Anolis sagrei: one gene and its partners. The protein of the gene in region 2 purifies or fractionates together with the protein of the main gene of each other region. This does not show direct contact. Links are inferred from orthologs where the notes say so. Each region holds a gene or a part of one and is shown on either strand. Other genes may lie near its edges. The genes, in order: OS9, HSP90B1 and CALR.

Evidence for each region.
Region 1: the proteins of HSP90B1 (region 2) and OS9 purify together in Homo sapiens (affinity purification with mass spectrometry; 6 studies listed by BioGRID and IntAct, with this or other methods). This does not show direct contact. The link is inferred for Anolis sagrei from reciprocal best matches to the Homo sapiens genes HSP90B1 and OS9.
Region 3: the proteins of HSP90B1 (region 2) and CALR fractionate together in Homo sapiens (co-fractionation; 4 studies listed by BioGRID, with this or other methods). This does not show direct contact. The link is inferred for Anolis sagrei from reciprocal best matches to the Homo sapiens genes HSP90B1 and CALR.

Annotation. Positions count from the first base shown.
Region 1 is NC_090022.1:186,667,085-186,677,552, reverse strand, and holds the start of OS9 (protein OS-9), read right to left. Parts: upstream 4,525-10,468; 5' UTR 4,473-4,524; coding exon 4,308-4,472; intron 1-4,307. UniProt on the Homo sapiens protein: Lectin component of the HRD1 complex, which functions in endoplasmic reticulum (ER) quality control and ER-associated degradation (ERAD).
Region 2 is NC_090025.1:170,807,729-170,818,444, reverse strand, and holds the start of HSP90B1 (endoplasmin), read left to right. Parts: upstream 1-6,648; 5' UTR 6,649-6,800; coding exon 6,801-6,849; intron 6,850-9,853; coding exon 9,854-9,953; intron 9,954-10,716.
Region 3 is NC_090022.1:162,446,470-162,457,657, forward strand, and holds the start of CALR (calreticulin), read left to right. Parts: upstream 1-6,968; 5' UTR 6,969-7,052; coding exon 7,053-7,140; intron 7,141-11,188. UniProt on the Homo sapiens protein: Calcium-binding chaperone that promotes folding, oligomeric assembly and quality control in the endoplasmic reticulum (ER) via the calreticulin/calnexin cycle.

The DNA of each region.
Region 1 (10,468 bases), on a different chromosome or scaffold from region 2:
TACATGGCTGCCCCTCAGGAAACATCATTATGCAATATGCATCATTAAATAAATAATAAATGGATGTTTATGAGTAACTAATGTAGGGGGTTTTTTTTTGTCATGTCAGGAGCGACTTGAGAAACTAGAAATTCACCAAGCCCCCCTTTTGAAAGTGTGGAACACTGTCCCTTTAAAAATAGGAAGAAACCGGAATTCCAAGCTTGTTAAATTGACCCAGTTACCATACATCTTCATTCACACACTGCAGCCTCTGGTGCCTAGAAAGCACACAACTAAAAGCATTTTACCATAATACACTTATTATTATTATTATTATTATTATTATTATTATTATTATTTCTGGTATTTCTACTCCATCGCTTCTCTACCCCCGAAGGGGGACTCAGGATGGCTTACCAGGGGTATCGATACGATGCCACTACATAACAATTACAATAATAAAACCACAATTAACATAAATCATAATTAAAACAATAGACCAGCAATCAATAAAACAGTCTCATCAGCCGTATTGCCATTCCAGTCAATGTCCCTCTAAAGTGCTACATACATCTACTGTCTGAAAGCCTGGTCCCAAAATCATGATTTTAATTTCTTTCTAAAAGCCAGGAGGGAGGGAGCAGATCTTACCTTGTTTGGGAGTGTGTTCCATAGGCGGGGGGCCACAGCCGAGAAGGTCCTGTCTCTCGTCCCTGCCAGATGCATTTGTGCTGTTGACGGGTGCGAAAACAGGGCCTCCCCAGATGATCTTAGATTATGAGGTGGAATGTAGGGGTGGGTGTGTTTGGACAAGTAAGCTGGGCCAGAACTGTATAGAGCTTTATAGGTCAAAACCAGCACTTTGAATTGGGCTCGGAGATGGACCAGCAGCCAGTGGAGCTGGCATAGCAGAGGGGTGGTAGTAGACACTTAAGACATTTTGACACCGTTATTATACATCATGAGTGCAAATGTTCCACTTTGATCCATCATGGAAGTAAGCTTGGTCCTGCAACTGTGTGTACAATACTATACATCTAGAATGGAAGTGCATATTAAAGAGAAAAGGAAACAAAACTTTTCATGCTATAATACAACTATATTGATTTGGCATAAACATATCTATTCCAACTCTCCTGTAAAGGAAGTCAATTATATTCTCAATTCCACCTCCAGTGATCTAGGTCTTATAATTTCTGGGACGTGTTAAGGGATAGCCACATGATCAGTTTTATTTTATGAATGCTGACCATTTACCAAATTAGTTCAGAATCACTCTCACAAATTCCAATACAGCTTTTCTCCTCCCCCTTCCATAAAGCTTCATGAATTTTCAAAATCTCTTCCCATAGTTGTGTTTGCCCTAGATCTGTTCTAAAATATATCTGTCAATACAACATTGCTTCTGCTGGAAGCTGACTGATCTATATATAAAGGATAATGAAGAAAAGCGTCATGTTGCCAGGTAATGCAGACAACAGCAGCCTGCTGTGACTACACCAGCTTATCATGCTTCTGATAGCTCTATCAGTGTGCACTGCCTCTCAATGAATGAATATCATAAACAAAAAATAAGCAAGTTCTGCACTTGGAATGCTTACCAACAAAAACAGAAACCAAGGACCAACTAAACCTGGCAGAAAGTCTCACTAGCCTAGCATACATTATACCAGCAGCATTTCATGTTTGCAAGTGACAAATGTAACCCAAAGCAGTTTGTTCTTATGATCCAGAGAAGAGGGGAAACTGAATACTGTTTACTCAAGACTATAGATCTGAAAAATGATTCCCAGACACCAGATCTGGATTTCAAACATTTTACAAGTAACTTTCATCGCTCCATTTTCACTATACAATTCTTGATGTCAGGTTTTCATTCACTCATACAATCATTCTTCATACAACAAAAAGGTCCGCATGCCAAGTTGATCAGTTCTCATCACTGGTTGAGAACTGATCACTGCTATTCTTGCACATTTTCTCTGGAGAGTCTTTTTATAGACCTTCTAACTTCTGTTATCTGCATGCATGTGTTGTTTTTACAAACAACTGTAATAATGAACAATGTTTTCTTGTTATCTCTTGTTAAAGTTCCTATATTGACTAGTCCTGTGGCTTTACTTGATTTTTTTTTTTAAAAAGTCAGGAGCGACTTGAGAAACTGCAAGTCGCTTCTGGTATGAGAGAATTGGCCATCTGCAAGGACGTTGCCCAGGGGACGCCTGGATGATTTGATGTTTTTATCATCCTTGTGGGAGGCTTCTCTCATGTCCCTGCATGAGGAGCTGGAGCTGATAGAGGGAGCTCATCCGCCTCTCCCCGGATTCGAACCTGCGACCTGTCGGTCTTCAGTCCTGCTGGGACAGGGGTTTAACCCACTGCGCCACTGGGGGCTCCGCTTTACTTGATAACATGCAGCCATTCTGAAGGTCATACTTCCTCTCTCAGAGAATCCTCACTTTAGTTGTCAATTCACCATATCATCATGCATTGTGCTTCTCAATTTCTTCACAGATACTTTTGTTTCTTCAGCACAAGGGCTCAAGCACACAGGTTGGTCACAAACACTTCCAGCTTGAGATCAAAATACATTCTATTTTGAAATCACAAATGCTGTTGGAACACATGCATTTCCATTTTTATCTTTTTGAATTAAGTCTGATTGTTTTTCTTTACACTAAATATAACAATTATCTCATAATCAACAACAGTACGCTGCAAATCCACACAATGGAGTGTAATAAAACATGCAAGAAAGCTGTAGCTCTTGGCGAGCATTCCTTTAAAATATCATACCAGTGATACGCAGTTAGTACACTCTCCTGGCAGCTATACGCTGTGTTTCTCCATGTTGGAATTGAATTTTAACAAAATCCTTTTTAGTATTCCAAGTATGCGGTTCTAAATGTTTCTTCATTTGTTCATTTTGTAAAAGCAATGTCTTAAATTTTACATTTGTTGTTCATTCGTTCAGTCGTTTCTGACTCTTTGTGACCTCATGGACCAGCCCACGCCAGAGCTCCCTGTCGGCCGTCACCCCCCCCCCCCCCAGCTCCTTCAAGGTCAATCCAGTCACTTCAAGGATCCCAACCATCCATCTTGCCCTTAGTTGGCCCCTTTTCCTTTTTGCTTCCATTTTCCCCAACAACATTGTCTTCTCTAAGCTTTCATTTCTTCTCATGATGTGGCCAAAGTACTTCATCTTTGCCTCTACTATCCTTCCCTCCAATGAGCAGTCGGGCTTTATTTCCTGAAGTATGGACTGGTTGGATCTTCTGGCGGTCCAAGGCACTCTCAGAACTTTCCTCCAACACCACAGTTCAAAAGCATCTATCTTCCTTTGCTCAGTCTTCCCTATGGTCCAGCTCTCGCATCCATAGGTTACTATGGGGAATACCATTGCTTTAACTGTGCGGATCTTTGTTGCCAGTGTGATGTCTCTACTCTTCACTATTTTATCAAGATTGGACATTGCTCTCCTCCCAAGAAGTAAGCGTTTCCTTTATATAATTAGGTCCTACTACTATATTTAAATCTGACATTAATAATTCTAAAATTTTTTTTCTCTTAATCATTTCTGTAGCAGAAATTATATTGTCGAAGGCTTTCATGGCCGGAATCACTGGGTTATTGTATGTTTTTTTCGAGCTATATGGCCATGGTCTAGAGGCATTCTCTCCTGACGTTTTGCCTGCATCTAATCACCTCTCAACAAAAGTTTGCTCCAGGCTCTGTCAGGCCATTATATGCTAATCAAGGTGGACAGTTGAAACGTTCACACCTAGCTCCAGCAGACAAGAGTCCTTTGTCCCACCCTGGTCATTCCACAGATATATAAACCCCTTTTTCCTAGTTCCAACAGACCTCACAACCTTTGAAGATGCTTGCCATAGATGCAGGTGAAACGTCAGGAGTGAATGCCTCTAGACCGTGGCCATATAGCCCGAAAAAACATACAACAACCCAAAAATTATATTTCCTGTCACTAAGTTTTTAATATACGGTAAGTAACATTACAATTACACTCTTGATTTTGTTTATCAAGTTCAATTACAGTTGCATCAGATCTGGGGGCGCATCTGCACTGTAGAATTAACGCAGTTTGAGCCCACATTGAACTGCCCCAGATTAGTGCTATGGAATTATGGGAGTCAGGGGTTTGGGGAGGCAACAGCCCTCTTCAGCAGAGTTAACGACCTTGTGAAACTACAACTCCCAGGATTCCTCAGCATTGAGCCATGGCAGTTCAAGTGATACCAAACTGCGTTAATGCTCCAGTATGGATGACACTTCCCTTCCTCTCTTCCCCATCCAGGTGGGCCTACCTGCCCGGCCATCACTGGCTCGGCCCCGATCTCGATCCCGTACTTCAGCTCGCTGAGCTCCAGCAGGTTCAAGGAACCCAGCGCCTCTCCGCCTCCCAGCGCCGCTGCCCAGAGCAGCAGCAGGAGCGGGCCGCAAAACCTCGAAAGCAGGAACCTGGCCGCCATCTTCCCCGCACGGCCGCCCCCTCCGCCTGTTTCTGCCCTTCCTAGGCAACGGCCACTTCCGCCCTGCCTTCGCGTTCTGACCCAGGGAAGAGAATGGTCCCGGTGAGGTGTCAATTATCGCAGAGGGCGCTTACCATTGGCTGATTCCAAGGGGCGGGGAGAGTGAGGCTTTTCGGTGGGGAAAAAAAACCTGGTAAAACGCCATTGGTTCACTCCTTGGGCCAATCAGGGGAGCGAGCGCTTGCACAAGCCGCGGCTAAAAAAACCTGGTGGAAACCGATTGGCTGAAGTTCAGGCAATCCAAGCAGCCAATCAGAATGGCAAGCGGCTGCCCTACTGGAAAGCTGGCAGAAGGCGAGTGCGCCTACAACACAGAATTAATACAGGGCCCTTCCACACAGCCAAATAACCCAGAATATCAAGGCAGAAAATCCCAAAATATCTGCTTTGAACTGGATTATCTGAGTCCACACTGCCATATATTCCAGTTCGAAGAAGATAGTGTGGGATTTTAGTCAATTGTGTGGAAGGGGCTATAGTTTGATGCTGTTTGACCTTCCCTGGCCGACTTCTGTGACATGGGAGTTGTAGTTTGATGAGACACCAGCGCTCTTTTGGCCAAAAAGGTGTCCTTGGCAAAACTATAAGTTCCCTTATTATAAATTAGATTTGTAATAAGAGGGGGTCATGCTTGGTAACAGGTACTACATTATTTTCTTTTCTCTATATTGACACTTCCATCAACAAGGATCCCCAGTCATTCAAAGATGTCACCACTGACTTTTCTAAGATCTACAGAGACACTCCCTGGAACACCTCAGCAAGCGAGAGTCCAAAAGTGGCAGGCTCAAACCCAGAACCTCAACCAATGGCTGATACCAAATGAGAGACTCCCCCCTGGGCACACAGAGGACTGGGCGACTTGGAAGGCACTGAACAGACAGCGCTCTGGCACCACGAGATGCAGAGCCAACCTTAAGAAATGGGGATACAAAGTGGAATCCATGACATGCGAGTGCGGAGAGGAGCAAACCACAGACCACCTGCTGCAATGCAACCTGAGCCCAGCCGCATGCACCATGGAGGACCTTCTTGCGGCAACACCAGAGGCACTCCAAGTGGCCAGATACTGATCAAAGGACATTTAATCAACTACCAAACTCACACATTTTGTATTTTCTCTGTTTGTTTGCTTTGTTCTGTTAGAAATGTAATATAATTGACTGGCTGCCCTGACATGAGAAATAAATAAATAAAATACCACTGACTTTTTCATCCTTTTGATTACTGCTTTCATGAGATCATATCCAACTGAATTTCTGCATTAACAGTTGTTCGTGCTGAATGAACTACATGCCTGGCTGAATAACAAGTCCATGTGAAAAAGATCTTGGAGTCTTTGTGAACAAAAAGTTGAACATGAGCCAACAATGTGATCATAGAATCATAGAATCAAAGAGTTGGAAGAGACCTCATGGGCCATCCAGTCCAACCCCCTGCCAAGAAGCAGGAATATTACATTCAAATCACCCCTAACAGATGGCCATCCAGCCTCTGTATAAAAGCTTCCAAAGAAAGAGCCTCCACCACACTCCAGGGCAGAGAGTTCCACTGCTGAGCGGCTGTCACAGGAAGTTCTTCCTCATGTATTGTCGAAGGCTTTCATGGCTAGAATCACTAAGTTCTTGTGGTTTTTTGGGGCTATATGGCCATGTTCTAGAGGCATTCCATGTTCTAATGCCTCTAGAACATGGCCATATAGCCCCAAAAAACCCACAAGAACCTAGTTCTTCCTCGTGTTCAGATGGAATCTCCTTTCTTGTAGTTTAAAGCCATTGTTTCACGTCCTAGTCTCCAGGGAAGCAGAAAACAAGCTTGCTCCCTCCTCCCTGTGGCTTCCTCTCACATATTTATATTTGGCTATCATATCTCGTCTCAGCAGGCATGTAGCCGGGGGGGGGGGGGGCTTCAGCCCCTCCCCTCCCCAAAATTCTCATGGTGGTTTGAGAGAAGGCCTTACTGGTACATTATTTAAACTGTTATGTTTATTCATATCATGATCTGATCACCATGCTCAATATATTCCATATGCATGGGGGTATTGGGGTAACGATACAAAAGGTTTGCTAGTTTAGACCCTCTTTCACTTAGACTCAGCCCCCCCCCCCAAACTAAACTCAGCCCCCCCCCCCCCAAACAAAATTCTGGCTACAGGCCTGCTTCTCAGCCTTCTCTTCTTCAGGCTAAACATGCCCAGCTCCTTAAGCCGCTCCTCATAGGGATTGTTCTCCAGACCCTTGACCCTTGATCTCCAGACCCTTGATGCAGCAACTAAAAAGCCAATGGGATTTTGGACTGCATCAAAAGCAGTATAGCATGTAGATCGAGGGAAGTCCTGGTGCCTTTGTATTCTGCTTTGGTTAGACCTCACCTAGAATATTTATTTATTTACTTACTTACTGTATTTGTATACCGCCCCTCGCAGCCTTCCGGTGACTCGAGGTGGTTTACAAGGCAAAATTCAATGCCACCAAAAACACAATTACAAGATAAAAACATTAACATCAATAAAATCATAACAACTCTAATAAAACATAATTCAATAAATACACATTAGAACAATGTCCAGTCCCATCATGTAGTTGTTCCGTTCTTATGTCCGTTACTCAGTATTCGCAAATGCCTGCTCAAATAGCCATGTCTTGAGTTTTTTCTGAAATGCTAGAAGAGAAGAAGCCGATCTGATCTCCCTAGGAAGGGCATTCCATAGCCAAGGGGCCACCACTGAGAAGACCCTGTCTCTCGTCCCCACCAGCCATGCTTGTGATGATGGCGGGACCGAGAGCAGGGCCTCTCCAGACAATCTTAAAGTCCTCGAAGGTTCATAAGGGGAGATGCATTTGGACAGGTAAGATGGGCCAGAACCGTTTAGGGCTTTAAAGGCCAAAGCCAGCACTTTGACTTGCGACTGGTAGCAGACTGGCAGCCAGTGGAGCTGGCGCAACAAGGGGGTTGTATGCTCCCTGAGAGCCGCTCCAGTTAGGAACCTGGCTGCCGTCCATTGGACCAGTTGAAGCTTCCAGACAGTCTTCAAAGGCAACCTCACATAGAGAGCATTGCAGTAGTCTATACAGGATGTAACAAGAGCGTGGACTACGGTGGCCAAGTCAGACTTCCCAAGGTATGGGTGCAGCTGGTGCACAAACATTCAATAGAGATATTGACAAACTGGAACTTGTTCAAATGATCAAAGGTCTGGAGAATATGTCCTATGAGGAGCAGCTTAAAAAGATGGGGATGTTTAACCTGCAGAAGAGAAGACCATGTTTAAATATGTGAAAGGATGTCAGAAGGAAGAGGGAGTAGGCTTGTTTTCTGCTACCCTGAAGACTAGGACTAGGAGCAATGGGTTCAAATGCCAGGAAAGGAGATTCCACCTGAACATTAGGAAGAACTTCCTATCTGTAAGAGCTGTTCAGCAGTGGAACTCTCTGCTTCCAAGTATGGTGAAAGCTCTTTCCTTGGAGGCTTTTAAGCAGAGGCTGGTTGGCCATTTGTCAGGGGTGCTTTGATTGTGCTTTTCCTGCATGGTAGGAGATTGGATTAGCTTCCAACTCTATTATTCTATGACTATGGGGAACACTCTGAATAAAAGATCTTCAAGAAACTCATAGAACATAAACAGTTTGCTATGGATAGTTTATCTGGCATTTGGCAAATGAAATTGCTTATATCCCCTCTGACTTTGACACTAGAATTGGTACAGATGCAGTGAATGTAACTTTGACTCTAACTTGTTGATGATTGCTTTTTAATTTGAGCCACCCAAGAATGTAGACAGATTTCTTTGAGAGATACGAACTGCCATATGTGCGTTAGAGACTTGGCCTTCTTGAGTTATTAAAAAAAGGCTATTCATTTACTAAATAGACGGAGTGGTCAGTGTCATGCTAAAACATGACAGAATTCCAACTTGCCTGAAGAAGGCTGTTATAAGATAGTGGAGACATGGTGCTGGAGAACTCCAGGTCCCCTTGGCCATTGGCCTGTGGGATCATTCAGACTCACTTTGTCCTCCATGCTATTTAATAAATACACAAAACATGGGAAGTTGCCCAGAGCTTGGGGTTTGGTGTCAACAGTATGTGGATAGCACCCAACATCTACTACTCCTTTCTATCAAAATCCAAGGAAATTGTTTTTGTCCCAAATTTGTTCCTTTCACCTGTAATGCCCATAATGGATGTGAACAAATTGAAACTTAATCCAGCCAAGGTCTGTGACTTGGGTGTACTCTTGGCTTCAATCCTGAGCCTGGAAGCTCAGGTTTCAGTGCATTTGCACATTTAATGCTTGCTTGCCAGCTGGATCTGCTCCTTCAGATGCCACAGTGACACAGGATTTGCCTACATCACAGCTGGGTTATTGTGACACGCTCTACATGGGGCTGCCCTTGAAGAATGTTTGGAAACTTCAGCTGGTCCAAAAAGCTTCAGCCAGTTTGCTTGTTTGATACAGGGAAAACCCAACTCCACTGGCTGCTGGATGAAATTCAAAGACCTGGTTTGAAGCTATATGGGAAGGTTGAGTGAGAAAATGATGCCAGAAACATTAACAACCTTAGGTATGCAGATGATACCACTTTGATGGCTGAAAGTGAGGAGGAGCCGAGGAGCCTTATCACCAAGGTGAAAGAAGAAAGTGCAAAAGCTGGGTTGCAGTTTAACGGCAAGATTACGGCAACCAGACTGATTGATAACTGGCAAACAGAAGAAGAAAACGTGGAGGCAGTGACAGACTGTATTTCTAGTCGTGAAGGTTACTGTAGATGCATCCAGAAAATCAGAAGATGTTTACTTTTTGGGCAGAGAGCAATGACCAATCTCGATAAAATAGTGAAGAGTAGATACATCACACTGGCAATGAAGGTCTGCATAGTTAAAGCAATGGTATTCCCCATAGTAACCTATGGATGTGAGAACTGGACCATATGGAAGGCTGAGCGAAGGAAGATAGACACTTTTTGAACTGTGGTGTTAGAGGAAAATTCTGAGAGTGCTTTGAACTGTAAGACAATCAAACTAAGCAGTCCATACTCCAGGAAGTAAAGCCCGACTGCTTACTGGAGGAAAGGATATTAGAGGCAAAGATGAAATACTTTAGCCACATAATGAGAAGACACGAAAGCTTGGAAAAGATTTTTTTCCATGTGAGGAGTGACTTGAGAAACTGCAAGTCACTTTTGCTGTGAGAGAATTGGTCATCTACAAGGATGTTGCACAGGTGATGCCCGGATGTTTTACCATCCTTGTGGGAGGCTTCTCTCATGTCCCCACATGGAGAGCTGGAGCCTACAGAGTGAGCTCATCTGAACTGTCCCTGGATTTGAACCTCTGGCCTGTCTTTAGTCCTGCCGGCACAAGGGTTTAACCCATTGTGACACCGAGGGCTACAGATAAGATAATGATGCTGGGGGGAAAGGAAGGAAAAAGGAAGAGGGGCTGACCAAGAGCAAGATGGATGGATGTTATCCTTGAAATGACTGAGGGTGGCCAAGGCTGACAGAGAGCTCTGACGTATGCTGGTCCATGAGGTCAGAAGAGTCGGAAATGACTGAACGAATAAACAACAAACCAATCCTACTGTTATAGGGAAAGGAAGAGAGAGGGTTGCTGCCACCCACCACAAGGTGGCAGCTTTATATAAAGCTGGCTATTTCTTGACCGCCTAGCTCCAAGGCATTCTGGAAGAAGCGACAGGGGATTTTCCTGGCCATACTTCCCTTTGTCTCTTAAGCTTTGAACAATCCAGGGAACCAGACATCCAAGAAAAAGTCAGCTGCATGTTAAGCAGACTCCTAATGAGCAGGAGGCATTCCTCCTCCTCCTCCTCCTCCTCTACTACAGGGACTAGGTTGGGAGGAGCCACCTTCATTGCTGTTGCTTCCTATGTTGAGGGAATACCTTCCTTTCTGGTGCACATGGTGGAGCTGAGCA
Region 2 (10,716 bases):
ATATTAAGAATTCTTTATAAGACTTTAGCAAATATTCCTGATATTTTTATTGAAGTATTTGGAAAGATGCACACAATATTTTTCTACAAGAAATAAAACATGTCTTCCACTAGAGTGCGCTACAATCCAATTTATGCTTCAGAAGTCATAAAGCAAGTAGACAAAAAGTAAAATTCTGTACTCCCACTATAAACTCCACGCAGTCATGCTGGCCACATGACCTTGGAGGTGTCTACGGACAACGCTGGCTCTTCGGCCTAGGAATGGAGATGAGCACCACACCCCAGAGTCAGACATGACTGGACTTAATGTCAGGGGACTACCTTTACTTTTTACTATAAACTCAAATAGTCACCATATATGTATATTAACTACAAGTCTATTTTCCAAGTTTTCTGTATACAAAAGGTTTTAAGGTTTAATTGCTGGATATTGAAGGGGTTTATAAGGGGGAGGTGTAATGGGTTATGAAGATTTGATTTTAACCATGTTTTAACTTTGTACTGTATGTTTGATTTTGTTGTAAGCTGCTTTGGGTCTGCTTGCAGAGAAACGAGGAGTAAAAATATCTTAAATAAATAAAAATGAATTCCAAATAAACAAGATATATACAAGGGAACTTTTTTGGAAAATCCTGACTACCTAATGAAAAGTCCAACGTATTTGAATGAAAGATACTCCTAGGTTAGTGTGCTATGGTTGAAAACATCATCTCACAATCTGAGACTCTCATATTTAAGCTTCTGTTGAAATTCAAATAGTGAATTACATTGAGGGTGCTATATAGGTGATAGTGGTAGTATTTGCATAACTACTTTATATACTACTTTATATATAAGGTTGCATCTGCATTACACTTCAACAGCCAGGGCTCAATGCTATGGAATAATTATTTATTTATTTATTTATTTGCTATATTTCTATCCTGCCTTTCTTGAACCTGAAGGTGACTTAAGGCGGCTTACAACCAGGCAGCAATTTGATAATGGGAATTATAATTTTCAAAAATCTTTAGTCTTCTCTGCCTCACCAAACTAGAATTCCCATGATTCCATAGCAATAAACTATGGAAGTTAAACTGGTAACAAGCTACATTAATTATACAGTGTAAATGACAGTTCCCGCAATTGCATAGCTTTGAACCATGGCAGTTAGACTGGCGTCAAACTCCATTAATTCTATGGTGTTGACGCACCCCAAAAGAATTCTGTAGACTGTGTACTCTCAGTGTACAAAGATGAAATGTAGAAATATAATCAGAAAGGATATACACATTTTATATATAAATAAGAGGTTAACAATGCACATTCATGAGATATAAAGATACTTAAACGCTCTGAATTTTACCAAATTCTCCATGCTTCTTGGCAGGGGGTTGGACTGGATGGCCCATGAGGTCTCTTCCAACTCTATGATTCTATGTTCAGGAAATTACAAAATGAATGCAAGAATGGTCAGATGGAGCATGCAATTTTAAAAAAACCAAAATATATATTTCCATTATGAAGTGGCTCAAAAGGCACAGAATAGGTAAAGGTAAAGGTAGTCCCCTGACATTAAGTCCAGTCATGTCTGACTCTGGGGTGTGGTGCTCATCTCCATTTCTAAGCCGAAGAGCCAGCGTTGTCCGTAGACACCTCCAAGGTCATGTGGCCGGCATGACTGCATGGAGCGCAGTTACCTTCCCGCCGGAGCGGTACCTATTGATCTACTCATATTTGCATGTTCTCGAACTGCTAGGTTGGCAGAAGCTAGGGCTGACAGTGGAAGCTCACGCCGCTCCCCGGAATCGAACCTGCGACCTTTCAATCAACAAGCTCAGCAGCTCAGTGCTTTAAACCACTGCGCCACCGGGGGCTCCAGGCACAGAATACACTGTGCTAATTTTAAAAGCCCTAACACTTTTAAATCAGGAAATGATGTGTGTGTTTTTTAATCACAGAGGGAAGAAAAGCAGCAATGATACTGTCACAGGACTGCATTTTGCTTACGATGCTTACTCTTGAGAGGGAATCAAAGCATATATAGGTCATATCCCATCATGGTTACAAGAGGATAGGAAACAAAGGCAGAAAAATGCATTTCAACTCTTCATGGGGAACAACATAATGTATCTCTTTATGAGGATTGCGCTTTTCTGTATCCAATTCAAGGCTACAAACCAATTCACTGGCAGAGTACAGTGAGAAAACTGAAATACCAGAGAATACTGATGCTCTTTTTATCAGGCGTGTTGTTTACCCTGCGAAAAATATATAATTGTATAATTGTAAATTTGCAGCTTGGTGGATGACAGAGAAAACTATTTCCAAGTTTTGTTGAGTTTTTTTTTAAGATATCAAATACTAATTAGTAGCCACATCAGTACTTAGTACACATGGTTGAACAAAGCTGAAATGGAACATCAAAGGAAATAATCTAATCATCTTAAAATAGCACTGACTAAACAGTATGCCAGCATATCAAATGTTAACTAAGGACTAGTGCATATGTTTTGCAGTTCAGCATTGTTACTTATATTTTCCACTTCACTCCCTTATCAGATCTCCTCACTCTAAAACTTTGAATGAAAGGAGAAACATTTCCTACCTTATAAAGACATTGAAAGAGGTTAAATCTTGGGGGAAAGGCTTGTATTTGGACATCACTTAAAATCTCATTTCATACATACGCTAGTGAGAATGGTCACTGCAATTGGTTGCTATTTTAAAATGATAATCTGCAGAATGGACATTTTATGTCCTGTTGCAACAGCTGATGCAAAAGTCTTGCTTTTATATCTCAAAGGACAGGCAGTGCACTGTCTGTTAGGTATTCAGCTGACACTATGGTTCACCACCTGTGTTTGAAAGCAAGTGGATTCCGTTATAAGTCCATGGATAAGTGTTAATAGTGTAATATAACTCATTTAAAAAGAGCACAACAGTCTCTTAAACAATATCATACACTTAATAGCAGAGCCTCAATTTGGCACATCCACGATTTCAGCAACTATATGATGTAACTAGTAGCAATGTTCAAAATTAATGACTTGCAAAACCTAATGACTTGAGATAATGAGCTGCTTCCAATTAAGGCAGTCGATATAGTCCTAAATGGATTCAGCCTGAAGTACAAGGCAGCATATCACAGGAATTAAGACTGTTGTGTGTTATAAAGTTATGCAATGTAGGCTAGATATATACTGCCATATAATGCACTGTGGACTTCACTATATAATTGGTGTACTATAGACCAGATAGTGCAGTTTGAACTGCATTGAATGGCGTTATATGGGTCTACACTTACGATAGAATGCAGTTTCAACTGGATTATATGGTAATATGACATCCCTATTCTTTGTGTTGGAGCCCCGGAGGCGCAATGGGTTAAACCCTTACACTGGCAGTACTGCTGACCAAAAGGTCTGCAGTTCAAATCCAGGGAGTGGGATGAGACATGAGAGAAGCCTCCCACAGGATGGTAAAACATCTTGGTGTTCCCTGGGCAACATCCTTGCAGACGGCCAATTCTCTCACACCAGAAGCGACTTGCAGTTTCTCAACTCGCTCCTGACACCAAAACAAAAAACAAAACAAAACAAACCTCTTTGCGCTCAATGGGACTTCGGAGGTATGTTTCTCATTCAGCTAGTTTACTATCTGGGTGTCTACCAAACCATCTGAAATACTGATGCCTCTTCCTTCCAAAGACTACAGTACCCATCATGCAATATTAGAAGGCGGCTTGCATGTAAAGCAACACTGACATCATGTGTGGCAACACCAACACATGTAGTGCAGACTCTAAGCAGCCATTCTATGGGGTTTTACATGCTGGAATTTTGTTATTCCCCACTGTATTTTAACATAAATCTTAAATGGATTTAGTCCCCTGCCACTCTGCCTGACCCCTTTTTCTTTTCGCCACATCTTAATTAAATCATAAGTCTGAGGTTAGGGAGCTGTATTTAAAATAATTCTTAAGTGAAAGCATGCAGATGTTTCTGTTGCAATTATACTGAAAGGCCATCCTGCTGATTTTCCTCTGATTTACTTCATGTCTATTCTCAATAGACACATAATCTGGCATGTGTTAGGTTGCTAAAATGAAAGTAAAAATGTGAGTGAGTTATCATACACACACACACATCACATAAATTATCATTATAGAAGGCACACACACACAACTTGGGATGCCAGGTGTTAAAAGTAAAATTAAATTAAATTTGAAGAATGTGATATACTATATATACATATACACAAACACATATCACAAAACACACATGCACATACATAACATACATTATATAAAGTATATATTAATCATACATTATATATTATATAAATATAAAATGTATAAAAACATAAATCGTATAAAATACACACACTATATATATATATATATATTCTAAAGTATACACATATCTATTTATATATTTATTTCTATTCCACTTTATTCCTTCATACGGAGACTCAAAGCAGCTCACAATCAAAAACATAACTTAAATATATAAATATACAATAATAAAACATTATATCATTTTATATAATTTATTTATTGATTTGTGGTAATTGTATACTGCCCTTGTCAAACCCAAAGGGGACTCAGGGCAGTTCCCAGTGTTGGCAACAATTCAATACCATCGATAAGTAACACCATAAAATATCAAAACTGACTCTCCCTTGGTAAAACACTGAACATTACTAAACACACCATATAAAATAACAACACATATCACACAAAGATATAGCCGTTGTCAGCCCGTAGGCGACTCAAGGCAGTTAACAGGGCAAAATTCAATGCTTACAATATCATAAATACAATTAAAAACATAACATATAATAAAAATTAAACATATCAATAAAATATAAATTCATAGTGTCACCTTGTTAAAAACTTTGCCTGGTCTCATTGTATTATTATTAGTATTGTATTATTATTAGTAGTATATTGTATATTATAAAAGTATATGTATATGCAATATATTAGCATAGCACAATATTAGTACTATATTGTACTATACAACTATACTGCATTATTAGTAATATCACACGTAATATAAATTATAACTATTATGTTTTATTATATACAATATATATACTACACTACCAGTATAGTATTTTATTAGTATTATATAATATATTGTATTATAAGTTGTAGTATATATTATACTATACTATAAGTATTATATAACATACTAGCCGTACCCTGCGACACGTTGCTGTGGCCCAGTCTGTGTATGTGTTTTGTGTGTATATATGTGTGTTTGCATATATATGTGTGGTTTTGCGCATGCGTTGTAATGTATTTTTGTTGTTTTTTTTTTGTTTTGGTTTTTTAAGTCTCTCCTGCTGTGTTTTTCAGTGTTTTTATGAGTGATAGTCACTCGTTGGCCTGATATATGTATTGTGTCCAAATTTGGTGTCATTTTGTCCAGTGGTTTTTGAGTTATGTTAATCCAACAAACAAACATTACATTTTTATTTATATAGATGTATTATTAGCATAACACAATATTAGTACTAAATTGCACTATACCATGATACTGTAATATTATTAGTAATATCACATATACTATAATTATATATTATGTTGTACTATGCCACAGTATATATACACTAGCAGTATACTATTAATATTATATATTTTATCATACTTTAAGTTGTAGTATATATATTACATTATTATTATAAACATAAACACATAAATATTACAAACATAAACATGTAACAGAAATCACATATATATTTTATATAGTATTTTTTGCTTGCAGGTTTTGAATTTGTAAAAACAAAGACATTACATTTTTATTTATATAGATGTATTACTAGCATAGCACAATATTAGTACTAAATTGCACTATATCACTATACTGCAATATTATTAGTAATATCACATATACTATAATTATGCCTTATGTTGTACTATGCCACAGTATATATACACTAGCAGTATACCATTAGTATTATATATATCATACTTTAAATTATAGTATATATATTTCATTATTAATATTATAAACATAAACACATAAATATTACAAACATAAACATGTAACAGAATTCACATCTATATTTTATATAGTATTTTTTGCTTGCAGGTTTTGAATTATTTTGTAAAAACAAAGACAACTTCAATCTCAATCTCAAATCAAATGACTAAATACTAAAATACAACCAATAAAATAACTCCTAGCTTTCTCCCACCCCTAAATCCCCTTCCTTTAAAAAAATCTTCTATTTTTAAACAGAAGCTAGATGGCCATCTGCCAGGGTTGCTTTGAATGCAATATTCCTGCTTCTTGGCAGGGGGTTGGACTGGATGGCCCATGAGGTCTTTTCCAACTCTGTGATTCTATGATTCTATTTGGTTCTGAAGCTCTTCCCTGGAACACATTCTGGAGAATTTGATTCAACCTCTTTAAATGGGGAGGGGAAAAGGAAACCAAACCAAGGCCTATTACTCCCGCCCTTGCTCCCGATTGGTTGCTTCCCTTGGTAACAACCAATCGGGCCCGGCCACGCTCTGGCGCTGGACTCCCTCACCTGGAAACCGCCGATTGGCGGAGAGAGAGCTCCGCCCCTCCCCTTCGGGCTTCCTATTGGCTCCGCGTTTGGCGTGGTGAGCCGCGATTGGTGGCGATGCCTCCGCCTCGCGGCGTGCGCGAGTGATAAGCCGGCCGGGATTGGGGGGGCGGGTTGACTTTGATTAGTGGCTTCGTCTCCTCAGGTGTCGCTGAGGAGGTTCCCCCACTTTCTTCACACTTCAGCGCCGCGTGGGAGGCAGGGACAGTCCGGAGTGCGCTTCGAACCGACGACATGAAGCCTTTGTGGGGACTCGGCCTCCTACTCGTCCTGCTTTTGGCCGGTGAGGCGCCGTTGAGGGGAAGAAGAGGGGGAGGGGGTTCTGGAACATTCTGAGGGAAGCCTGTTTGAGGGGAAGGGGACTCTTGGGAAGGCCTCACATTATTTCTTTTCCTAACTCCAGGCCTAGCAGCGCCTCCGAGGCCTCCTCGATTTAAAGCTCTTCGTTGTGTTCTACTTTAACTATCACGGCCTAGTGTTATGGAGTACCTCAGGCATGGGCCAACTTGGGCCCTCAGAGTGTTTTGGACTTCAACTCCCACAATCCCTAACAGCCTCAGGCCTTTTCCTTTCCCCCCTCAGCCGCTTATAAGCGGCTGAGGGGGGAAAGGAAGGGGCCTGAGGCTGTTAGGGATTGTGGGAGTTGAAGTCCAAAACACTCTGAGGGCCCAAGTTGGCCCAAACTTGCTATACAGGATTTGCAACCATGGCAGCACAATGAATACACTTTGACATCACTTTAAACTGCCAAGACTCAATAATATAGGATTTTGGGAGTTGCAGGTTTGCAAGGTACCAAAGAACTCCAGGTCTCGATGGTGGTTAGGGGAGCTTTTGCACAACTACAACTCAGTTGCACCCATAGCTAATACCCTGTGCCGGCAGGACCGAAGACCGACAGGTCGCAGGTTCGAATCCGGGGAGAGGCGGATGAGCTCCCTCTATCAGCTCCAGCTCCTCATGCGGGGACATGAGAGAAGCCTCCCGCAAGGATGATAAAAACATCAAATCATCCAGGCGTCCCCTGGGCAACATCCTTGCAGACGGCCAATTCTCTCACACCAGGAGTCACTCCTGACACGACAAAAAAAAACACATAGCCAGACTTGACCACGGTGGTCCACACTCTTGTTACATCCCCAAATGTACTACTGCAGCACAGTCTATAAGGGGTCACCTTTGAAGACTGCCCGGAAGCTCCAACTAGTCTAGTGGTCAGCAGCCAGGTTGCTCACCAGACTAGTTTAATGGGTTGTTGTAAGTTTTTTGGGCTATATGGCCATGTTCTAGAGGCATTCTCTCCTGACGTTTTGCCTGCATCTATGGCAAGCATCCTCAGAGGTAGTGAGGTCTACCTTAGATGCAGGCGAAATGTCAGGTGAGAATGCCTCTAGAACATAAAACAGCCCATTAAACTAGTCATTTTTTAAAATGTCTTGCGTCATGTAAAAATTACATGATCTGGGAAAAGGTTGATTCATATACAATTTAAATATTTTATACAAAGTGAAATGCATACACTATGCCAGGGGTCCTCAAACTTTTTAAACAGAGGGCCAGGTCACAGTTCCCCAAACTGTTGGAGGACCAGATTATAATTTGAAAAAACATGAATGAATTCCTATGCACACTGCATATATCTGTAGTGGAAAAAACATTTTAAAACAATACAATAATTAAAATGAAGAACAATTTAAACAAAAAGAAACTTCTTAGTATTTCAATGGAAAGTGTGAGATAGGATTGTTGTTGTTACTGTGTGCTTTCAAGTCATTTCAGATTTCGGTTGACCCTGAGTGAGGGCCAGGTAAATGACCTTGGAGGGCTGCATCTGGCCCCTGGGCTTTAGTTTGAAGACCCTTGCTCTAGAGGTTGATTAGTATACAATTTAAATATTTTATACAAAGTGAAATGCATACACTATGCCAGGGGTTCTCAGACTTTTTAAACAGAGAGCCAGGTCACAGTCCCTCAAACTGTTGGAGGGCCGGATGATAATTTGAAAAAAAGCATGAATCAATTCCTATGCACACTGCACGTATCTTATTTGTTGTGCAAAAACGGACAATGCGATAATTAAAATGGACAATTTTAACAAATATAAACTTATTAGTATTTCAATGGGAAGTGTGGACCTGCTTTTGGCTGGTGAGATAGGATTGTTGTGTGCTTTCAAGTTGTTTCAGACTTAGGTTGATCCTGAGCAAGGGCCAGGTAAATGACTTTGGATGGCCATATCCAGCCCTCGGGCCTTAGTTTAAGGAACCCTGGTCTTAACCTTTAAACCCTGAACAGTTCCTGCCCAGGTTACCTGTCCTCTCTTTCGTTACGAACCATCACAAAGTTTAAGATCAGCTAGAGAGGCCATACACTTGATCCCATCACCATCACAAACGTGACTGGTGGGAACAAGAGACAGGGCCTTCTCAGTGGTGGTCCCTCACCTGTGGAACTCTCTCTCCAGTGACATCGGATTGGCCGCCTCCTTCCTGTCCTTTAGAAAGAAACTCAAAACCTTATGGGACTAAGTCTTTGAATGATAGAGGCAGGAATCAAGGATAAGAGTCAGGTGATATGAATGACAATGGACTGACCCGGACTTGGATTTTAAACTTGTGTGATTTTAAACAAATGCCTTATCAATGTAATGTTTTAATAAATTGTTTTAAATGTATTTTTATGAATGTGGATGTCACTGAAAGAGTGCCTGTTGTGAAGCTACCTTGATTTCCCCCTCGGGGATGAGAAGGACAGGATACAAATGTACAAGATAAATAAATATTGGAACCTCACCCAACTACAACAGTACAATTCCATAACATTGGACCATGGCCGTTAAAGGGGTGACAAAACAGTATCAGTTCTGCAATGTAGGTGCAGCCCATATTAGTCATAGTCCCATCTATCTTGTGATAGAAATGCTTAGGAAACTTTTAATTTCATCATCATCTCTTAAGGAGCACAATTGGACCAATAGCTTCTCTTTGCCATGTGCTTGAAGTCTGAAAGAAAATGTCTACCCAATCAAAAGATTTTTTTTCTGTTTAGTAGACTTTTTTGGACAGTCCCCAACTATAATGGGATATGGTTTTGAAGGTTGCCTCATCTGCTTCCCAGTGCATCATGCTGTTCTAATGTCTTAATTGGACCCTAGATGGTCCTGCACATTCCATCTTGGTTCCTCCATTCTTGGCTATACCAGTATAATTCTTATTGTCTCTGTTCCAAGCAGGCAGAGATACATAGCTGTGTTTTGAGTGACTAAACTAGCCAAATTCTTTTTACAGCCTCAGCCCAGGCTGATGAGATTGATGTGGATGGCACTGTAGAAGATGACCTGGGTAAAAGTAGGGAAGGATCTCGAACAGATGACGAAGTTGTTCAGAGGTTTGTTTTCTAAAATATCAATACAGTTGATGTAAAATGCACACTTGGAACAAATGTTATCTAAATAGAGTTAATGAAAGGTAGTTAAGATGCAAGTCTCATTTCTTCTGTTGTTGTAACACAAACTTGCTGATCCCGTGTGGGCATATAGCTAAATTCATCAGCTATCATGATGATGATGATGAAGAAGAAGATGGAGTCTTTCAAGTAGAACATTTTCCAATATGGACTGGAAAAATCTGGCTCGATTAGTTGGCTTTGATCAAAAACACAATAGAGTGATCCATACAAAGAGTTTTAGGTCATAATCTAATTGGGAACATAGGTACTTTGTTAGATGTGCTATTGTTAAAGTGAAGTTTTAAGCATGTAATTTTTTTTCAAAATAGGGTTGATTTATACATAGTGTTTTACTAAATAATTTAGCTGCAGTGATACTTGTACTAAATAATTTAGCTGCAGTGATAAATCCTCCTAGGAATCCTGGCTAGAAAATAACCTTTTGAAATTGGGTATGATTAGTGTTGGATACTGTCTTATCTTCTTACAGCTTATCAATTCTCATCTCAACCTGACCCAACAGAAAGATGCTAGGTGGTGGTGAATTACCACATTGATGCTTGAAAGCATCACTACTGATAAGGAAGGAAATAACATTTTTTTCAGCAAGTGGTGAAGAGGAGGAGCCATAATATCAAAGGCATTATATACAGAATGTGATGTGATAAGAACCTGAGCATTAATGAATATGCTAGAATAGTCA
Region 3 (11,188 bases), on a different chromosome or scaffold from region 2:
TGTTTCTTTTCCTGTGCTTTCTTCTTTGCTTTGGATATAAACAGTAGTTATGTTGATTGAGGAGCATCAAAAGACTTGAACCCACATGCCAAGACTGCTGATAGTGCTGCCATTACTAGGTGAATCACAGAGACTGAGGGAATTGCTGGAGGAGAGAATACGTGGTGCTGCTGTGCATGAGGACGTACAATGTATATGCTCTAGGTATTTATTTATTTACTATATTTATATACTGCCCCTCTCAGCCCGCAGGCGACTCAGGGCGGTTCACAGTCAGCATCAAAGACATAAAATACAATTAAAACAGTTAATTTAAATATAAAACCAAATAAAACAATCAATGTCAATAAAAACATGTATCATTTTGAGTCTCCTAGTTAAAAGCATTATCCAGTAGTGTCATCCAGTTGTTCTGTTTTTTTCTCTATGTCTGTTATATTGTATCTGCAAATGCTTGCTCAAAAAGCCAAATCTTGACTTTTTTTCGGAATATTAAAAGAGAAGGGGCCGATCTAATATCCCTAGGAAGAGTGTTCCATAGCCGAGGGGCCACCACTGAGAAGGCTCTGTCTCTCATCCCTGCCAGACGTACTTGTGATGAAGATATGTCATTCTGAGGAAAGCTTGGTGTGAGGAAAGCTGTCAGCCTCTGCTTGTGTATGGTATTCCTGGCATATCGCTGGTTATTTGGCTGGGCTTTCAGAAACACTGAGGTTGCAGGTGGGCTGCTAATTCATTCAATAATAAAAAATATTTTCTAGTTTTGTATGTATTTCCCTTCTTGGTTGATCACATGTTGGATATAGCAGCATTCTTACGACATAATGGCCATGTATTTTTGGTCTGAGAGAAATGCAAATGTCAGATTGGTCTTCCTCATTTCCATCACAGCACAGTTGGGATGCTGTCATTCCTATTGTCAAATGAAATGTTGAATCTTGCCTTGACTGAGAATACTTAACAGTTTGTTTTCAGTGACACAATACGTAAGATGGCTTTATAAAAGTTTAATTATTTTGTCTCTGACTCATGAGTTCTGCAAGGTTTTCAGTTAATAATGTGTAAAGGTTCTAGTAGGGCTGTCATCATTTCTGCTTATTCTCGTTTCCCAAGGCTCCTGTGTTTTGCACAGATAGACTGACTTTCGGTTAATGATGCATGGATGTGGAAACATTGCTTATTAAATTTCTGTCACAGTTACCTAGATATGAAGCTGAAAATCCCAACTGGCTTGCCAGCATGTTGCTAAAAGTATTTACCTTCTTGGGTCTCATAACCATTGTCTAAAGTCCTCCTCTGGGTGCACTTTTTATGACCAGTTGCAGGGGGGAGTCACTTTATTTGTCTAGGTCTGTTAAGAACTATTTGTACTTTTAGATCATCTGTGCATAGCCTTCTAAATAGACTGCCATTCCTATCAGCTCTGTTCAGCATTGTTAATATTTTCCTATGTAACAGCATGGCCAATGATCAAGAAATTATAGGAACTCCATTCAACCAACATCTGGAGGATTGCAAGTTGCCCAGCCCTGTTTTAGATCCTTACACTCCTTGTTTCTGTTCTCTTTATGGGTTTTACCTTGTGTTGCTGATTTTATTCTTACTATTTACTAATTTTATTCTTACTATTTACTATTGTTTCTTATTTTGTATCTTATGTTTTTAGTAGAACTGTATACCACCTGGAAAAACCCAATGACTAGACAGCCTAGACATTGGAGGGAAGGATAGTAGAGGCAAAGATGAGGTACTTTGGCCACATCATGAGAAGAAAGGAAAGCTTAGAGAAGATAATTATGCTGGGGAAAATGTAAGGAAAAAGGAAGAGGGGTCAACCAATGGCAAGATGGATGGATGGGATCCTTGAAGTGACTGGCTTGACCTTAAAGGAGCTGGGGGTGGTGACGGCTGACAGGGGGCTCTGGCGTGGGATGGTCCATGAGGTCACAGGGAGTTGGAAGCGACTGAACGAATGAACAACAGACAGCCTAAAATGGGAAGAAATCAAAAAGAAAGATATATGCTGTGCTCAATAAAATCCAGCCAATAATTCCTTAACATTACTGCTGTTATTGCATTCATTATTACTGTTTAGGTCAGGGGTAAGGAATATGTAGCTATCCACTCGCTACTGGATTGCAATTTCCATCAGCTTTAGCTAGCATAGTCTGTGTCAGAGATTGATGAACACTACAATCCAGCAACTTGCAGAGAGCTACACATTTTCTGCCTTGGGCTGTCAAGCCTATTTTCATTGAGGGTTTCAGCCTGATGGTTGCCTTCAAAGGACCATTGACTCCATGAATACAGAGGACCAACTATATATATATACTAGCCATCCCTTGCCACACATTGTTTTGGCTCAGTCTGGTGATCTGGAAAATAAAATAATGAGCAAATGTTGATTTCTAATATATGTAATGCCTTTATGCTTGTGGGTAAACAGTATTTCTTGTTGTTTCTTTGTCAGTGTTGATATGGAGATTGTCTGGTTTGCCTACTCTGGAACATGCAACATATAATTGTCCTTCTTTAGGGGTCCCTTTCAAATCTATGATACTATATCTCTCTCTCTGTGAATCATATATATCTATCTATATCTATGGCTGGATGGCTCTTGTTCAGGAGGGCTTTGATTACATTCTCTTGCCCTGGTGAAGGGAGTTGGACTGGGTGGCCTGAAGTATTTTCTGTTGGTCATGGGGGTTCTATGTGGTAAGTTTGCCCCAATTCTGTCATTCGTAGAGTTCAGAATGCTTTGTGTTTGTAGGTGAACTATAAATCCCAGTAACTACAACTCCCAAATGTCAATGCCTATTTTCCCCAAACTCCATGTTCATATTTGGGCATATGGAATATTTGTGCCAAGTTTGATCCAGATCCATCATTGTTTGAGTCCACAGTGCTCTCTGATGTAGGTGAACTACAACTCCCAAACTCAAGGTCAATGCCCACCAAACCCTTTGAGTGTTTTCTGTTGATCATGGGAGTCCTGTATGCCATGTTTGATTCAATTCCATCATTGGTGGAGTTCAGAATGCTCTTTGATTGTAGGTGAACTACAAATCCCAGCAACTACAACTCCCAAATAACAAAATCATTTTTTTTAGTGAAAGACATACATTGGGTTGTTAGGTGTACACTGTCCAAATTTGGTGTCAATTCGTCCAGTGGTTTTTGAGTTATATTAATCCCACGAACGAACATTACATTTTTATTTATATAGAGATATTTACATAGTGGTTGGGTCTCTTTAGTTTTTACCCATTTTGGGCCCCTGGATGTTAGGGAATGACAATTCCCAACACTTTTGATTATATGCCATGCAGACTGAGGATAATGGGTCTGGCAATCCAACAACCCTTGAGGGTCTAAGATTGGGGAAATGTTAGCGGACATGTTAAAGTCAGACATCATATCCACAAGTCTTGTACCTAAATCCAACCCTGACTCTCGTGACTAAACAAAACAAACTGCAGCCTTCCAGGTGTTACTATATCACAACTCTCATCAGCTCTAATAACAAAAAATATAGGAGCTGTAGTCAGGCATCTGCAGGACAACATTAAATGATATGAAGGGCCTTGAGTTTGACACAAGTGGTTTCAATGATGATGCCAGTAACACAAAACAAACCAGAAAAGAGCAAAGGGTGGGAGAAGTGAGAAAACACAATATTAATGCAGAATATCAAACTATTGAGTGAGTCACCCAGTGGCTTCCATGGCCGAGCTGGGATTCAGACCATGGCCTACAGAGCCATAACCTAATGCTCAAACCACTAAGCCACAATGGTCCTCTAATAAATGGCAGACCTTTAAGGTCTAGTAAGGAGACTCTGTTCTCCACACAGTCCAGGGCCATCATGCATTTAAAAGCCACCAGAGAAAGCACATTCTCGAGAGTGGCTCCAAAGCTGCTGGAGGAAGTTTGATCAGCTTCCACACTGATGTCATTCAGGAAAGCTGTGCAGATCTTCCTTTTTGAAGCAGCTTTTAATCGAAGCCAGGCATTTTATGGTCAGGAATTTGTCAATGGTTATTATTTAAATAAAATGTTTATTATTTAAATAATAATCTTCAGACCTTCCTGTTCAAGCAAGCTTTTAATGAAGATATTTAATTTGGAATGACAGGAAGGCTATATCTTTCAGTGAGTTGAGTAAAGTTTATCATCTGTATTGAGGAGTTCCCACAACAATTGTATTTATATCTGTTAAATAATTTTAAAATGTTTATTTATGCTTTATTGTAAAGTTGGTTTTATAGGTTATTGCTATATGTATGGTCAATTTGTTATTAGCATAGTACAATATCAGGTGTCAAACAGGGATGTGTTATTGCCCCAACTTTATTCTCCATCTTCATCGCTATGATACTTCATCTTGTTGATGGGAAGCTTCCCAGCGGAGTGGAAATCATCTATCGGACAGATGGCAAGCTGTTTAACCTCAGCAGACTGAAAGCCAAAACCAAGGTTACAACAACATCTGTTACAGAACTCCAGTACGCTGATGACAATGTCGTCTCTGCGCATTCAGAAGAAGATCTACAAGCCACTCTAAACACTTTCGCAGAAGCATACGAGAAGCTCGGCCTGTCATTGAACATCGGGAAAACCAAAGTGCTCTTCCAACAGTCACCAGCCAACCCCCCTCCAGTGCCAGAAATACAGCTTAATGGTATAACATTAGAAAACGTTGACCATTTCCGCTACCTTGGCAGCCACCTCTCTACCAAAGTCAACATCGACACCGAAATGCAACACCGCCTGAGCTCTGTGAGCACAGCATTTTTCCAAATGAAGCAGAGAGTGTTTGAGGACCAGGACATCCATAGGGATACCAAGGTGCTTGTTTATAAAGCTATTGTCCTCCCAACCCTGCTATATGCCTGTGAGACGTGGACAGTCTACAGAGGTCACATGCAACTCCTGATACGATTCCATCAGCGCTACCTCCAGAAAATCCTGCAAATCTCTTGGGAAGATAGGCGGACAAATGTCAGCGTGCTGGAAGAAGCAAAGACCACCAGCATTGAAGCGATGGTCCTCTGCCATCAACTCTGCTGGACCGGCCACGTTGTCCAGATGCCTGACCACCATCTCCCAAAGCAGTTGCTCTACTCTGAACTTAAGAATGGAAAACAGAATGTTGGTGGACAGGAAAAGAGATTTAAAGATGGGCTCAAAGCCTAACTTAAAATCTCTGGCATAGACACTGAGAACTGGGAAGCCCTGGCCCTTGAGTGCTCCAGCTGGAGGTCAGCTGTGACCAGCAGTGCTGCAGAATTTGAAGAGGCACGAATAGAGGGTGAAAGAGAGAAATGTGCCAAGAGGAAGGCACGCTAAGACAACCCCGACTGAGACCACATTCCACCTGGAAACCAATGCCCTCACTGCGGGAGAAGATGCAGATCAAGAATAGGGCTCCACAGACACTTATGGACCAACCACCAGTACATTAATCCTGGAAGACTATCCTGCTTGGACAACGAGGGATCGCCTAAGTAAGTAAGTAATTATTAGCATAGTACAATATCAGTACTATGCCATTATATTGTAATATTATTAGTGATATTACATGTAATATGGAATACATAATTATAATATTGTATTAGTAGTAGTATTATATTGTATTACATTTTAATATTATAAATATTAGATGTATATACAATATATCATAAGTAAAGCACAAGTGCTTGGAGAGCTGGAACCAATCTTTCTCATGGGCAGACGCAACCTGGAACCCCCATTATGCTCCTTTCAGATGGAAAGGAGATTCCAGCAGAACATTATTTATTTATTTATTTACTACACTTCTATGCCACCATTCTCAGCCCGAGGGCGACTCATGGCGGTTTACAAAACGGCACAATTCGATGCCCACAACAGTACAAAAATAGTTTAAACATTAAAAACATTTAACACAGATTTAAAAAATCATTACAATTAACATCAATAAACATAATAAAAAACCATAAGTCCTCCACATTTCATTAATCAGTCATTGTCCAGTCACATTGTCCAACCGTTCCGAGATCAGAGTTTCAAAGCTACACTGCCTTTGGGAAGGCCTGCTCATATAGCCAGTTTTTAACTTTTTTGCGAAATGTTAAGAGGGTGGGGGCTGATCTATTGTCCCTGGGGAGGGCATTCCACAACCGAGGGGCCACCGCTGAGAAGGCCCTATCCCTCATCCCCGCTAATCGAGCCTGTGAAGATGGCAGGGCCGAGAGCAGGGCCTCCCTAGAAGATCTTAAATTCCTAAAGGGTTTGTAAGGAGAGATACGTTCTGACTTTGAGAGCTGTTCAGCAGTGGAACTCTCTGCCCCGGAGTCTGGTGGAGGCTCCTTCTTTGGAGGCTTTTAAACAGAGGCTGGATGGGGGTGCTTTGAATGCAATATTCCTGCTTCTTGGCAGGGGGTTGGACTAGATGTCCCATGAGGTCTCGTCTAACTCTATTTATTTGTCCTGTCAGAGCAACCAGTCCATTATATTACAAGCAAGCAAACAGACAAATACAAAACTTGTGAGTTTGGTAGTTGGTTAAATGTCCTTTGATGTCCTGGCCACTGGTCTAACTCTATGATTCTATGATTCCCACTCTCCAATGTGCTTTCACCCTCCTTTCAGAGCCTTGCAATGAATGGGTGTAAGAAGCGAGGAAAGCGGCCTTGAGCTGGCCCTTTAAATCCCGCCGGGGTCACGTGGGGCTTGTGCAAAAAAAAAAAGAAAAAGGAAGAGTGACGCACACAAGGCGATAGGGAGGGGGCGGCTCCCCCCGAACGCGTGGTCGTGCCCCATTGGCCAGAGGTAGTATCCAATCAGAAGCGGCCATCTGGGACGCCAACGTTCGGGGGCGCTGCCCAACCCGCCGTCTTTCCGACCGACCAATGGCAGTGTCCATCCGGCCCGGCGCGAGCAATCGGGACACGGCGGAGGCGGGCGTTCGATCCAGCCCGGTATAAAAGGGCAGCGAAAGCACTTCGCTGGCCGCAGTCGGTTGCCCTTGTCAGGCTCGAGGAGGAGAACCTTGCGCGCGGGGAAAAGACATGGCTCTCTTCTTGGCCTTCTGCTCCATGCTGGCCCTGGTGTCGGCTGGGCCTGCGCAGTACTTCCGGGAGGAGTTTGGGGATGGAGGTGAGCGGCGAGGAAATGAATGGGGGCCTCCAGCAGGGATGGGCCCATCTCAGGGAGGGAGAGAGGATGGGTGGGTGAGGGATATTTCTGGAGCCCTTCTATCCAGGGGTCGTTAGGAGGGTAAAATCACAACAGTAGGCCTCTAAGAGGAGTGCAACAAAAGGGGAGGGGGATGGAGAGAAGCAGGGCTGAGCCTGGGTTGGTCTTTCTCTTGTCTTCATCCCCCCGCCATCTTGGATTGTGGCCATCTAGGGCTCGAGGAAGGCTGGGGGTGACATTGCAGTTTCCCCATAGACAACCCCATAGTAGAGATGGAGGCTTTTGGGAGGGGAGGGGATCAATCCCCTCTAGGCTGGCACAGAGTTCCCCTTAGAGAGAATTGTGCCATGATGGTTCAGGTTCTGCTCCAAGTAAAGAGTGGCTGAGAAACCTGGATGCCTGGCCAAGAATGTAAAAACGAATGGGAATGGATATATATTATGAAGGAGGCAACTGACTGCTTAATTTGGGGATGGGGTAGGGCATTTACTGGAGGGCTTTCAAGGGAGGAAAATGGGAGAGCTCTGTTCATATCCATCCTGTTTTGCTTTCCAAGCCACTCATGATGTGTGAAATACCTCTGAGGATGCTTGCCAGAGATGCAGGCGAAACGTCAGGAGAAAATGCCTCTAGACCATGGTCATATAGCCTGAAAGCTACAACAACCTAGTGATTCCAGCCATGAAAGCCTTCGACAGTACATTCTCCTAGGATCCTTTTTTGCCCTGTGATAAGTCTGTAGGTAAAGAATTCAGAGATGATTTTCCCAGTTCTTTCCTCAGAAATACAAGCTATAGTAACTAGGATTCATTAGTGGTCTCCCATTCAAGGAGTAACCAGAAATGTCCCAGCTTAACTACCAAGATCAGAAAGGGTCTGCAGCTTTTAGGTTTGCTTGCTTTTGCATTCGCATGCCTACCCCAGAGTATAAGTGTACCAGGAAATGCAAAAAATATTGATGACAGGAGGAAGGATTCCAGATATGTTGAATCTACAGTCACTGGCCCTTTCTACATTGCCATTTAAAATCCAGATTATCTGCTTTGACCTGGATTATATGGCAGTGTAGACTCATAAAATCCAATTCATAGCCATATAGCCCGGAAAACCTACAACAACCCTGTGAAATATCTTGTTTGAATTGTGGGTTCTTAGGATCCAAGAATAAATACAAATAGGAATATATATGAGGGAGGCAACTTGCTGCTTAATTGGGAGGGGGTGGGCTTTTTCTCAAGGGAGGAAAAGGAAGAGCTCTGCTCATGTCCACCCTATTTTTAAGTGGCCACTCATGAATTTATTGTCGAAGGCATTCATGGCTGGAATCACTGGGTTGTTGTAGGTTTTTGTTTTTTTTTTGTTTTGTTTTGTTTTTTGTTATATGGCCATGTTCTACAGGCATTCTCTCCTGACATTTCACCTGCATCTATGGCAAGCATCCTCAGAGGTAGTGAGGTCACCTCTCTGGATGTGATTGGATCACACACTCAAGTATTTGTCTCTCTTGGGCATCTGTTCCTTTCAGCCACAAGAATCACAACCTTAAAATGAATGGTTAGTATATACCAAAACATTATTTGATTCAACTAAATATACACAGAGTTGATTTATCTTAATTCGTTAATTGACTCAAAGATCTGCTCTATAAGGCATTTAGCCCAAAACATCTAAGGAGGAATTATTTGTTAAACTTTGCATCAAAAAGGAAAAGTATTGTCGAAGGCTTTCATGTCCTGAATCACTGAGTTGTTATAGGGCTTTTTGGGCTATATGGCCATGTTCTAGAGCCATATATCCCAGAATATCGAGTCAGAAAATCCCACAATATCTACTTTTGACTTATCTGAATCCACACTATCTCTGAGGATGCTTACCATAGATGCAGGCAAAACATCAGGATAGAATGCCTCTAGAACATGGCCATAAAGCCCGGGAAAAACGTACAACAACCCACTCATGAATTGTGTGTGCTTATGATCCATTTGGAAGAGGAAATTGAGAACTTGGCAGTATGTGTGACAGGAAAAAGACTGTTGTGTCTAGTTTAAACGCACTGGGGAGTTGATAATTACACTGTAATCAATGAGGGCCACAGGGATTGTGAATGTGGACTAAATAGTTCACTCTGGGATGTCTCTCCCGACACACACGTACCGCCTGTTGGCAGAGGATCAAGAGTGACAGGTGTATGCTTCCTCAGTCTGGGACTACACTGAGGGCCCTTCCACACAGCCATATATCCCAGAATATCAAGTCAGAAAATCCCACAATATCTACTTTTGACTTATCTGAATCCACACTGTCATATATCCCAGTTCAAAGCAGAAAAAGTGGGATTTTATTCAGCAGTGTGGAAATAAGAGAACTATTGTGCTTATTTCATTGCAGTTATTTCTCTGGTCTATATGTGTGTGAGTGTATGTGCAGTCAAAGCATAGAATGTGGTTTGCAGTGTGAAATAAACTTAGGGCCCTTCCACACTGCTCTTTATTTCAGGAGCTGATCCCAGATTATTTACTTTAAATTGGGATATATGAGGGTCTACTGATCTGGGATCAGATCCTGGGATATAGGGGCAGGGTGGAAGGGCCCTTACATGCAACAGCAATTTGGTGTATAGGTTATTAAGACCGTTCTGATGATAGTGTAGCGTTTGTATAATAAGATGTGGGTCTCCCAGGTAGATTTGGCTGAATTGGTGATATTTAGGTAAGCCCAGTGCGACCTAGAGATGCTTATTTTCTAAAGAATCCTGTGTCCAATTTTATTCCACGATGGAGTAGAAAATTAAAAAATAAAGGATTGTCTTCTAGTTTGTCTTGAATGTTCTGTGCATTTGCATAGAAATGAATACCATTGAGCAGATTGTATAAACGTATGTTTAGGATTGTGCTGTTAGGCCCCTTATGCATCAGAATATTTTCATTGCATACATTAGCTAGGTATAAGCTCCAATTCTCTGTCTGAGGTTGGCAGCTTTATTCTTTCCTGTTCTGTGCTGCTAGGAGGAAGTTAAAGGGTAAGTTTGGCTGATGTTCTTTTGGGAGAGCAAGAAATGCTAGTTACAGTGTAATATAAAATAATATAAAATAGTAGATAGTGTGGTCCTGTCGTTGGTTTTTCTGTGATATGGTTGTGCCAGTTTTTTAATTATGTTTTTGTTTATGTATTTTGATTTGAAGACTTTTTTGACCTTATGAAGTAAGGGAAGATCATATAAATTTTAGATAATGCCCAAAATTCCTATTGTTCACAAAAATGTGCTTACTACTTTTACTTGAGTTCTCTTAATAAGGTTTGGCCATTGGGCATGGTAGTTCCTTTTAATTTTCAGCAGCCCTATGCTGTATGGTGTGGAGGAAGAGCCACAGAATTGGGAAATCGTTTAGTATTAAGCTCCCATACTGTAACAAGTGAACCATGGGGAAAATATGCCTCTGACATCAATCATATTATTGAAAACTATGGTATTCATTTTTTAAAGATCGTTGAAAGAACTTTTTTTTATTTATACAGTGGAAACTGCTCCAAGTCATTGTAAATAGCATTTGAGGGGAGGCACTACTTGTAAACAGCGTTCAAGCCATGCATTGTACCCAGGTGGCATTGCCATCTAAATGTTATGGTTAAGCAAGAATTGGGATAGTTTGGTAATCCAGAACTATCCACCACATCAACACTCCAACAGCCTTCTGTTTTGTACTAAGTCATGCTTTAATCTAGCTTGCTAGAACAGGAGTGGAAACCATGAATAATCAGAAGATTTAATTGCAACAAAGTGGCTACATAGCTTTCCCAGAAAACACAAAATAACCGTAAAGATACAGTGTTTTTAAAAATTGGAATCTTGTTGCAAAACTAGGTTGTAACCAAAAAGGATAAAAATAGCTCATCACATGTTGCTTTCAGGACAAATGTATTTCACTTACTATCTTTTTATGAAGTAGATTTCTGTGCAATGTTTAAAGCCAAATGATAGGCAAAAATACATAGTGGGTCAACAGAGATG